Linked DNA regions of Oryctolagus cuniculus. Each later gene encodes a partner of the first gene's protein in a complex. Links are inferred from orthologs where the notes say so. Each region holds a gene or a part of one and is shown in the gene's direction. Other genes may lie near its edges.

The links.
Region 2: the proteins of PTH2R (region 1) and PTH2 are in contact, whole or in part, in a cryo-EM structure (PDB 7F16), measured with the Homo sapiens proteins. The link is inferred for Oryctolagus cuniculus from reciprocal best matches to the Homo sapiens genes PTH2R and PTH2. Residues at the interface, in NP_005039.1 of Homo sapiens: Thr31, Ile32, Ile34, Gln37, Ile38, Asp68, Gly69, Leu70, Ile90, Tyr91, Asp92, Phe93, Met112, Lys117, Ala120, Tyr122, Leu126, Gln130, Pro131, Ser134, Lys137, Gln138, Phe141, Glu142, Tyr152, Arg190, Ile194, Lys197, Val201, Ile205; in NP_848544.1 of Homo sapiens: Ser62, Leu63, Ala64, Leu65, Ala66, Asp67, Asp68, Ala69, Ala70, Phe71, Arg72, Glu73, Arg74, Ala75, Arg76, Leu77, Ala79, Ala80, Leu81, Glu82, Arg83, Arg84, Trp86, Leu87, Tyr90, Met91, Lys93, Leu94, Leu95.

The regions. Positions count from the first base shown.
Region 1 is NC_091434.1:31,374,886-31,379,140, reverse strand, and holds the start of PTH2R (parathyroid hormone 2 receptor), read left to right. Parts: upstream 1-1,235; 5' UTR 1,236-2,332; coding exon 2,333-2,407; intron 2,408-4,255. UniProt on the Homo sapiens protein: This is a specific receptor for parathyroid hormone. The activity of this receptor is mediated by G proteins which activate adenylyl cyclase. PTH2R may be responsible for PTH effects in a number of physiological systems.
Region 2 is NC_091449.1:7,981,852-7,986,394, forward strand, and holds PTH2 (tuberoinfundibular peptide of 39 residues), read left to right. Parts: upstream 1-1,498; 5' UTR 1,499-3,502; coding exon 3,503-3,663; intron 3,664-4,036; coding exon 4,037-4,211; 3' UTR 4,212-4,249; downstream 4,250-4,543. Other genes in the region: GFY (Golgi-associated olfactory signaling regulator), read right to left, coding at 182-355, 460-1,498. UniProt on the Homo sapiens protein: Plays a role as a potent and selective agonist of PTH2R resulting in adenyl cyclase activation and intracellular calcium levels elevation. Induces protein kinase C beta activation, recruitment of beta-arrestin and PTH2R internalization.

The DNA.
Region 1 (4,255 bases):
CTCACAGATTAAATATTATAAATTAGACTGAGAATACAGTAGGGAAAACACTTCCATATTTATGTTAGAAACAATTTAATATTCTAAATGTATACAGTGCTTTTCTTTTCTTTCTTTCTTTCTTTCTTTTTTTTTTTTTTTGACAGGCAAAGTGGACAGTGAGAGAGAGAGAGACAGAGAGAAAGGTCTTCCTTTTTGCCGTTGGTTCACCCTCCAATGGCCGCTGCGGCTGGCGCGCTGCGGCCGGCGCACCACGCTGATCCGATGGCAGGAGCCAGGTACTTCTCCTGGTCTCCCGTGGGGTGCAGGGCCCAAGCACTTGGGCCATCCTCCACTGCACTCCCGGGCCACAGCAGAGAGCTGGCCTGGAAGAGGGGCAACCAGGACAGAATCCGGCACCCAGACGGGGACTAGAACCCGGTGTGCCGGCGCCTCAAGGCGGAGGATTAGTCTAGTGAGCCACTGCGCCGGCTTTACAGTGCTTTTCTATACAGGAAACATTAAATCATCCTTTGCTCTTTCATAGAAAATCATCCTGTCAAATAATATTAATCATAATAGCTAACATGTGTTAGGCATTTTCCCTGCTTGAATTTTTGTTAACTCATTTGATGTTTCCAACAAACTTTTGAGTGTGAGAAATGGAATGGACGTGTGCAGCCCTATGTTGAGGTCCTAATTTTCGGGTGATAGATAGTATTACCAGGCAGGGCCTTTGGGAGGTGATTTGGCCGTGAAGGTGGAGCCCTGGTGAAGGGGTTTTATGACCTTCTAAGAGATCTCTCAGAGTCCCTCACCCCTTCTGCCAGGTGAGGTTACAGCCAGAAGACAGCAAATCCACTAGGTGCCTTCGTGGTGGACTTCCCAGACTGTGAGAAATGCATTTCTGTTGCTTATAATCCATCCAGTCTATGGTATCTTGTTAGAGCATCCAGAGCTAAGACAGGGAGGGTGGAGACCCTCCCAGAGCAGGAGTCTGAACCAGGTCATCTGGCTTCAAAGCACATGCAATTCACTTCTTTCCTCAGGTGGCAAGAGCAGGAGATTTTATAAATAAGGGCCATAATTGGCCAGGAAATACATAAAACAGTCAACCTGTTCATACACTAAGAATTAAAACTAAGACAATAACGTGGTGGCCCCCTTGCCAAGATTCTGAAAAACAATACCGATGAAGGCAAGAGCATGGGAGATGCTTCATCAAGGCTACCGTGGGTTTAATCTAGAAATACTCACGAAAGCCTCAAATTTGAGCACATCATTTAAGTAAAAACCACAGTTAACGTTTAAGACAGTTTTCAAGAATTTACACAAAATCACACATATTCTGGGACAGTCATTAATTGATTCAGTACAGCTCAGTTTAGTAGCCGAGCTGGCTCTGGGGCAGGTCAGCATGCCACAAAGTGGCCCCTTGAAAACCACCTGGCAAACAAATAGACAACCGCAAAAAACCAAAACAATTCTGCCGGAGACGACCAATTTCCTTGAGATGTTATTTTCCCAGGATGAGATCCCTTTATCCTCAAAATCTCGTTTTTCATTTGTAATTGGAGATGGTCAGACCTATAAATATGTGTGTATATCGATCATATCCTAGATACATGATCTATATGACAGGTAGATGCACTGTGAAATAGGACACACACACACACACACACACACACACACTCACTCACTCTCACTCTCTGTGATTACAAGAAAATAAAAAGGAGAATTTGGACCAGCTGCGGAGAGGGCGGGCTGTGGACGGGGCCGGCTCATAGCGCAGGTATCAAGCCCTTCCCCGCACCGTCCGACGTTCCCGTGGCTGACCGTCAGCGCGTGTGTGGGCAGGAAGGGACTTCTGGGCTACCCCCCGGGGGCCCCGGGCGCCCCTGGAGTCTGCGCTGGAACACGGACGGAGCGGAGGGAGCAGAGTCCGTGGAGTTGGCGGCGGCGACAGCAGGGTCTGCGGACGGTGGCCCTCGGGCCCCTGGGCTGCGGGACCGGTGACTCGGAGGAGGAGCGCGACCGCCTCCAGGTGCCCCTGCAGCAGCTAGGGGCGCGCCCGGAGTTCGGGGCTCAGAGTCCGCCCCCTTCCCGCGGCCCCCTCCCGGCTGCAGGTGGCGCGGGGCGGTGAGACGAGACCGGGTTCTTCCTGGAAGACGGCACCGGCCCCGGGATACGGGCTTCGAGACGCGCAGGTTGTTTTCGGCCGCTGAGCCCCGGCCAGTGGCCCGGCTGCGCCTCGCTTCTGGCCGCAAGTTTGGCCGGCGCTGGCAAAGTTGACCACTCTGAAAGCCACTCGCGGGCTCGGAAAGAGGTTCCTGCTTCTCGTTCTGGTCCGAGCATGGCCGGGTCGGCGGTATCGCAGCATATCTGGGCTTGGGTGGTGCTCTGCAGCTGTCTCCTCGTGGGAGCCCAGGTAAGGAGCGGGCGCCCCAGGGCGGGATGGAGGCGAAGGCGCTCGGCGCTCGCGCACCTGCACATCCACGATTACACACCGCACTCCAGCGCTCGGCTGGGCTGGCAGGCGATCCGTGGATCTGCACAGGGGTGCTTCGGACGAGAGCTGTCCTGCTGCACTTGCAAACCAAGGGGGTATTTACGGACTGCAGAGTTCTGGATCGCGAGTGCGAAGCTGGAAGGGAAGGAACTCTTTCTGTTAGACTCTGAGTTCCTCCTTTAATTAAATCCAGATAGTTTTTGCCGGGTGGCAATTTACCATCGCTTTTGAAAACTTCAGCTTCCAGGATCGAGTGTGACCACTCTCCGCCAGGTCACTCGCCGGCCTTCCCTGATAGAGCAGCGCTCATCAGTATTCAAAGCGAGATTAGATGGAATCAGAGCACCGGGTTTCACGCAGCTCAGTTGTTAAGGTTGAGAATAAGCAGTGTCGTCATTTTCATACTGCTAATATCGTGTAGAGATTTTCTGGGCACAATTTCTCAGGGGAATCTCTTTAATGTGGAAGGAACAAAATAGGATTTACAGTCAGCTTTTCTGATGAGCTGGAAAGAGATGCCTGTAGCGATAGGTGTGGATTGAAACCGAATAAAGTTATTTTTCTACCATTACGTAGGGGGCGCACTTTGACCGTCAAAACTGAGCCCCAATTTAAAAACTTCTTTCACTGTCAGATTTTTGAACTGTTGATTTATGAACTGGTATGATCTAAACTTAGTGATGTACTATGCTTTTGGATTTCAGGTGACCAGTGTGAATTTAAATTATTCTAAAATTTCAATTTCTAAATGTCTAAAAGCCCATCTGTCATAGTCATAACGACATAAATTACTACTTCAAAAGGATTTCTATGAAATAGGTGTGCTGCTAAATTCTGGGCTTTACTTAACATGACCAGGATGTGTTGTATAGGCTGATCGTGCTAAAATGAGTTTGTGTATTTTATATTGACTAATTATATTAGCAATGAATACTTAAAAGTAGGGTGCACTCAAACCTGAAAAAAAATCACCAAGTTAATGGGAAGAATATAAATATAAGCAAAAAAATTCCCAAGAACTTGATGATAGATTTCTATGATGGTTCTAGAACTCTGATGGTCTCAAATATCTTACATTTTTATCTCATATTTGGATGCATACATCACTGTCTCCTTGTGTAAGACACAAATGAACCATTTATCTTATTCACTGTTCTGGATTACTTTTTCTAAGGGAATGGGAAGAAGACTTCACTTTGGGATTGCATGCAGAGTATTTTATTTTCCTTTTGCTTTCAACAGAACAATCGGGACACTGAGTACTTTTCCCATGGTAACTTTAAGCCAGACTTTCTCAACCTTGACACTCTGGACATCTTGGGCCTTGTAATTCTTTGTGGTGGGGGTTGTCTCCTACACTGTGGGATATTTACCATTCTTAATCCTTTATCTACCAGATACCGTTGGCATCCCCCTGCACCCTGCTGTGACAACCAAGCATATCTTTAGATTTTGCCAAATGTCCCTTTGGTGGCAAAATCACTCCTGGTTGAGCATCACTGCTTTAAACTGATTTTTTACTTATATCTATAGATGAAGAACTGTATAAGATGACAGTTTGTGATAATGTATTGCACATGTCAACTTTCTTGGCACTTTAAACAAAACCTGGAGATCAAATTAAAGCGCTTTACAATGACATGTTGACACATTTTCTGGTCTTAAGTTCTTTTTATCTTCAGAAGAGTCAAATTGGGTTAAGGTTGTTTGACTTCTCTAAAATTATTTGGTTTTTACTTAGGTCATGGTCAGTCCCTGTTCTGAAAT
Region 2 (4,543 bases), on another chromosome or scaffold:
CACGCACACCAAGCAGGAAAGGGCGGGCTCCAGGCCCGATGCAGTGCCTCCCTGGGCGGCCAGGGCTTTTACTGGCCTTGGATATGAGGGACCAGTCCGTTTGGGCAGGGCGCCCTTGGGTGCTGGGTGAGGGCGGATTCAGGAGACGTGGATGCAGTCGGGGCGGGGGCGGGGCTCTCACCGGCTTCGTCTCCGTGGTCCGGGAGCCGGTGGTGTGCGAAGGGGCGGTGCCGAGCCGCGCGGCGGTACAGGCACCACAGCAGCAGGAAGATGCCGATCAGCAGCCCGGTCCCCGCGAAGAACAGGCACAAGGCCCCGCCTCCCGCGCCGCGCGGGCGCCCCACCAGCGTCACGCCTGGCGGAGGAGACCGCGCTCAGCTCCTAGCCCTCCTCCCTCGGCCCCGGGGCCGGCCGCAGCGCCTCCTCCCTCGGCCCCGGGCGTCCCGGCCAGCCCCTCACCGGTCTCCTTCACTCGTTCCACCACGATGATGGTGTTGACGCTGTCGCCTCGGCTGCGCCTTGGGGGGTCCCTGAGAGTGGCAGGCGCCCGCTGGTTGGGGGGTCCTGGGGGAGCAGGGGGGCTGGCAATCCGGGCTGAGGGAGGAGGGGTGTCAGGCCCTTTGGAGCTAGAGTTCTGGGGGGCCTTCAGCTCCACGGCCCCTGGGGACTCTGAGGGGGGCAATGTCGGGGAGTCGGGCTGGGTGGCCGCCGGGGTGTCAGGTGTGGGGCTCAGGTGCGCCTCGCCGAGGGCGGTAGCTTCCTCCTTGAAGGTTGCAGGCGTGTCTGGGGGAGGAGTCGTGGGGATTTCCGGGTCAGAGGTCACGGGGGTCTCCGTTGCATTTCGGGAGTGGGTTGTGGGGAGCTCTGTGGGGCCGGGGTTGTGGGTCACATGCGGTTCTGGGTTGGGGGTCCCAGTAGGGTCAGGATGCAGGGTCTGGGGAGTCTCAGTGGTGTCGGGGTCACGCGTTTCTGGAGATGTGAGGTCAAGGGTCTTGGTGGGATCGGGATTTGGGGTCTCTGGGGCTTCCACACGTGAGATTTCTGTGGCGTTAGGTTTGGGCGTCTCTGGGGGTTCCGGGTGTGTAGTTTGGGTAAGGGTAGTTGAGGCCACGGGTGATGCTGAGTGTGGAATTTCAGCCGGGTCAGGTTTGGGGGTCTCAGAAGGGTCTGGGGTGCCCGGGGATTCTGGAGTAGGGGCTATGAGTGGGTCGCGGGAGGGGGTCTCAGGAGTCTCTGAGAACAGGGTCTCCCCGAGGTCAGGCGCGGGCGTCTCGGTGGAGCCGAGGGCAGAGGGCTCCGGGGCAGCCGCGCGAGCGGTCTCGGAGGGCTCGGGCCCCTCTCCCGCGGCCGCTTCAGGAGCCAGAGGGGAGGTCTCGGAGGGGCGGCCCACCGCGGTGGGGTCGGAGCCGGAAGACGGTGAGGCCGTGGGGGCGGCTCTGGAACCCAGCTGGACGAGGAGGAAGGCGAGGAGGAAGAGGACGGAGCGGAACGGCTTCATGGCTGGGAGGTGCCTATAGCTAAGACGGGGAGCGGGAAGAATGGGGTTAAGTTCGAAGGGGCGCGCGGGCCCCGCCCACGCGCAGAAGCCACGCCCGCCGGTCCCCAGGAGGACCCCGGCGCTGGCCTCGGTGGCCCGGGGAGACCGAGGCGCGGGGCTTCCTGGGAGTCGTAGTTAATGCCTTATCTATCTCCCTAGGGGGTCCTGGAAACATTGGGAGGGATGACACCTGTGCAAGCCCGCTGGGCTCCCAGTCCGCGGAGCTCGGACATCCGCGGCGGCCCCAAGGAGGGCTGTGGGGCCGGACTCCCGGGTTGGCCGCGGGCAGGCAGAGGCCCCCCGGGGCCCGGGCGGGCAGGTTGCCGGGGGCTCAGGCTCCTGAACCCCACAGGGTGAGGGGACTTGCGGGTGGAGCCTCCTGGCTCGTCAGAGGCTTTGGGAGCCCTCAAGTTCACGGGCCTAGGATTTTGAGGCAGCCAGGCTAGGAGGGTTTGGGGGTTGGAATTCGTGGGTGCTGCGTTCTAAGGGAATTGGGGGCCCTGGTGCCTGGGTCCTCCAGAACTAGGGGTCTGGATTCCCCAGCCTGGGGGGGGGCAGAGAAGAGGCGCACCTGTGAGCCGGACCCCTCCCTCTCCCTGTGCACTGAGGACAGAGCTGGGAGTGTGGAGTCCCTGGGGCTGAGGCAGGGGGTCCTGGGGTCTCTTACCTGCCCCGGTGTGGCCGAGATGCAGCCGCCGAGCAGAGCTGGATGCAGGGACAGCGGCTGCTGCAAGAATGGCTGTGGGCAGGGTGGCAGGAGGCAGGGTCCCAGGGGTGCGCAGGTGACGCACCTGACCCCTCTCTGGGGAACCTGGACGCCTAGCGACAGGATGAGGCTCTTAAAGGGACAGGGGTAAAGGACCTTGTCTCTGGGGGCGGGAAAGGGAGTTGGATGTTCTGGGGAGAGATGTGGGCAAGCAAGCTATCTTCCATTTGGACCCGGGGTCCCGACCCTCTGTCTTCCCCTACTCCCAAACCCCCAAACCTGAGAGTCGAGGGGGGGCTGCTACATTCCCCCGGGAGGCAGAGCCCTCATCTCCCTCCCACAGGCCAAGGAGCCCAGGCCTTCCCTCACCAGAATGCAGGAGTGAGTCTCTGTCCTGCCTGCCCAGACCTAGGAGCCTGGCCCCTCCTCTCCGGGGGAACTGGGAGCCCAGCTCCCCAAGTCTCCAGATGGCTGCTGCCCCTGTAGGACCGCCAGCCTTGGCCCCCACTCACTCCGCCACTTTTGTCTTCACCATGCCCACACTCCTGCCGCAGGGGACCCGGGCTGGCTCCCTGCTCACGGTCCCTCTGCGGCGCCTCCAATGTTGCTGTCTTTTCGACCCCAGGCACACACACCTGGACAGCCTCTTGCCTCCCCTCCCCTCCCCGTCTCTCCCCGTCTGCCCGGTGTCTCCCCGCGGGCTCCGTCTGCGGCACTCCCTCCCTCCGGGATGTTTCTCAAGACCTCTCTCTCCTCTCCGCTCTCCCTTCCTCCGTGGCTTCCCCCTCTTCCTCCTCCTTGTCTTTCCCTCTCCGGGTTCTGTCTTCTTTGTGTCTGTCCCTCATCAGTCCCTGGGCTCGGTGGCTTTTTCCCTCTTTCTCTCAGTCTCTGTCTTCTGCTATGATGGTCGCTATTTTTATCCCTCGGCCACACCCCCTGTGTCCACTTCTCAGTCTGTCCATCTCTCCCCCTCCCTCTTCCCTTCAGGTCCCGGCTCGGGTCCCAATTAGTTGGTGGCGGCCAAGGCAGCAGCGAGGCCCCCACCCCCGGCTTCTCATTACAGCTGGCTGTTCCTAATGAGCCTTGGGGGGCGGCTGACCTCGCACCCCAGCCCCGGGCCTGCGTCACTGCCCGAGCGGGGGCCGTGGAGGGGATATAAGGGGGCTGCTGGCCGGCGCTGCCCCAGCCCGCTGTGGTAGGGGCCCTGCGGGAGGCAGCTGGGGGCTGGTGCTTGGCGGAGTCCGGCGGCTCTGGCGCTGATGCGGACCTCACTGCGTCCGCCCCTCCTTTCCCCGCACGTGATGGAGTCCCGCCAGGTGTCCAGGAGCCCACGGGTGTGGCTGCTGCTGCTGCTGCTCCTTGTGCCCGGGGACGCCCGTCCCACCCCGGGAGTCGCCCTGCCCCCCGCAGGGGTTCTCAGGTGCGTGCAAGGCCTAGGACTTCCAGGGAGGGGTGGAGTGAATTCCAGAAAAAGGGACACAAACCCAAAGACAGGGCCGCAGAGACCCAGAGATGGCAGAGTTGGGGCGGGGCAGGGGGCAGCGGGGGAGTGGGCGAGAGCAAGACCGGGAAAGGCCGTGAGCAAAGCAGGTGCAGAAACGGATCCGGCCCTCGGGCGGCGCGTGCTGGGCGCCCGACGGGAGCCACGTGTGCGCCGAGCGCGGGGCGGGGCGGGGCGGGGCGGGGGTGGGCGGCAGGTGCAGGCACACAGGGACCCGCCCAGGGGAAGAGGGGCTTCGAGTCAGCCCGGCGGCGGCGGCGGGCGGTAACGGCGACTCCCGGTCTCCCCGCAGCCTCCGCATCCCGGTGCGGGCCCGGGCGGTCCCGGCCACCCCGGCATCGCGGCGGAGCCTGGCGCTGGCGGACGACGTGGCTTTCCGGGAGCGCGCGCGGCTGCTGGCCGCCCTGGAGCGCCGCCAGTGGCTGAACTCCTACATGCAGAAGCTGCTGGTGCTGGGCGCGCCCTGAGCGCCCCCAACGCCCGCCCAAATAAAGACCCGCGGACAGCTCGCGACCACGCCTCCTTCCTGTGTGACCGCGTGTGCGGGTGTGCGCGTGTGTGTAGGGCGGGCGGGGTGGGGCTGGGGGCCGCGTCGTCCCCTCTGGCGTCTCGCGCCTCGAGACCCCCTCCCCCTTTAAAAAGTATTTGAGACCCCCCCCCCCCCAAATGCCTGTATCGGCCAGGACTGCAGGAGGCCCAAGCCAGAGCCTGGAACTCAATCCAGGGTATCCGAACCATCACCACCGCTTCCCAGGGTGCGCATTAGCAGGGAGTTGGCTTCGGAGCAGGGATTCGAACC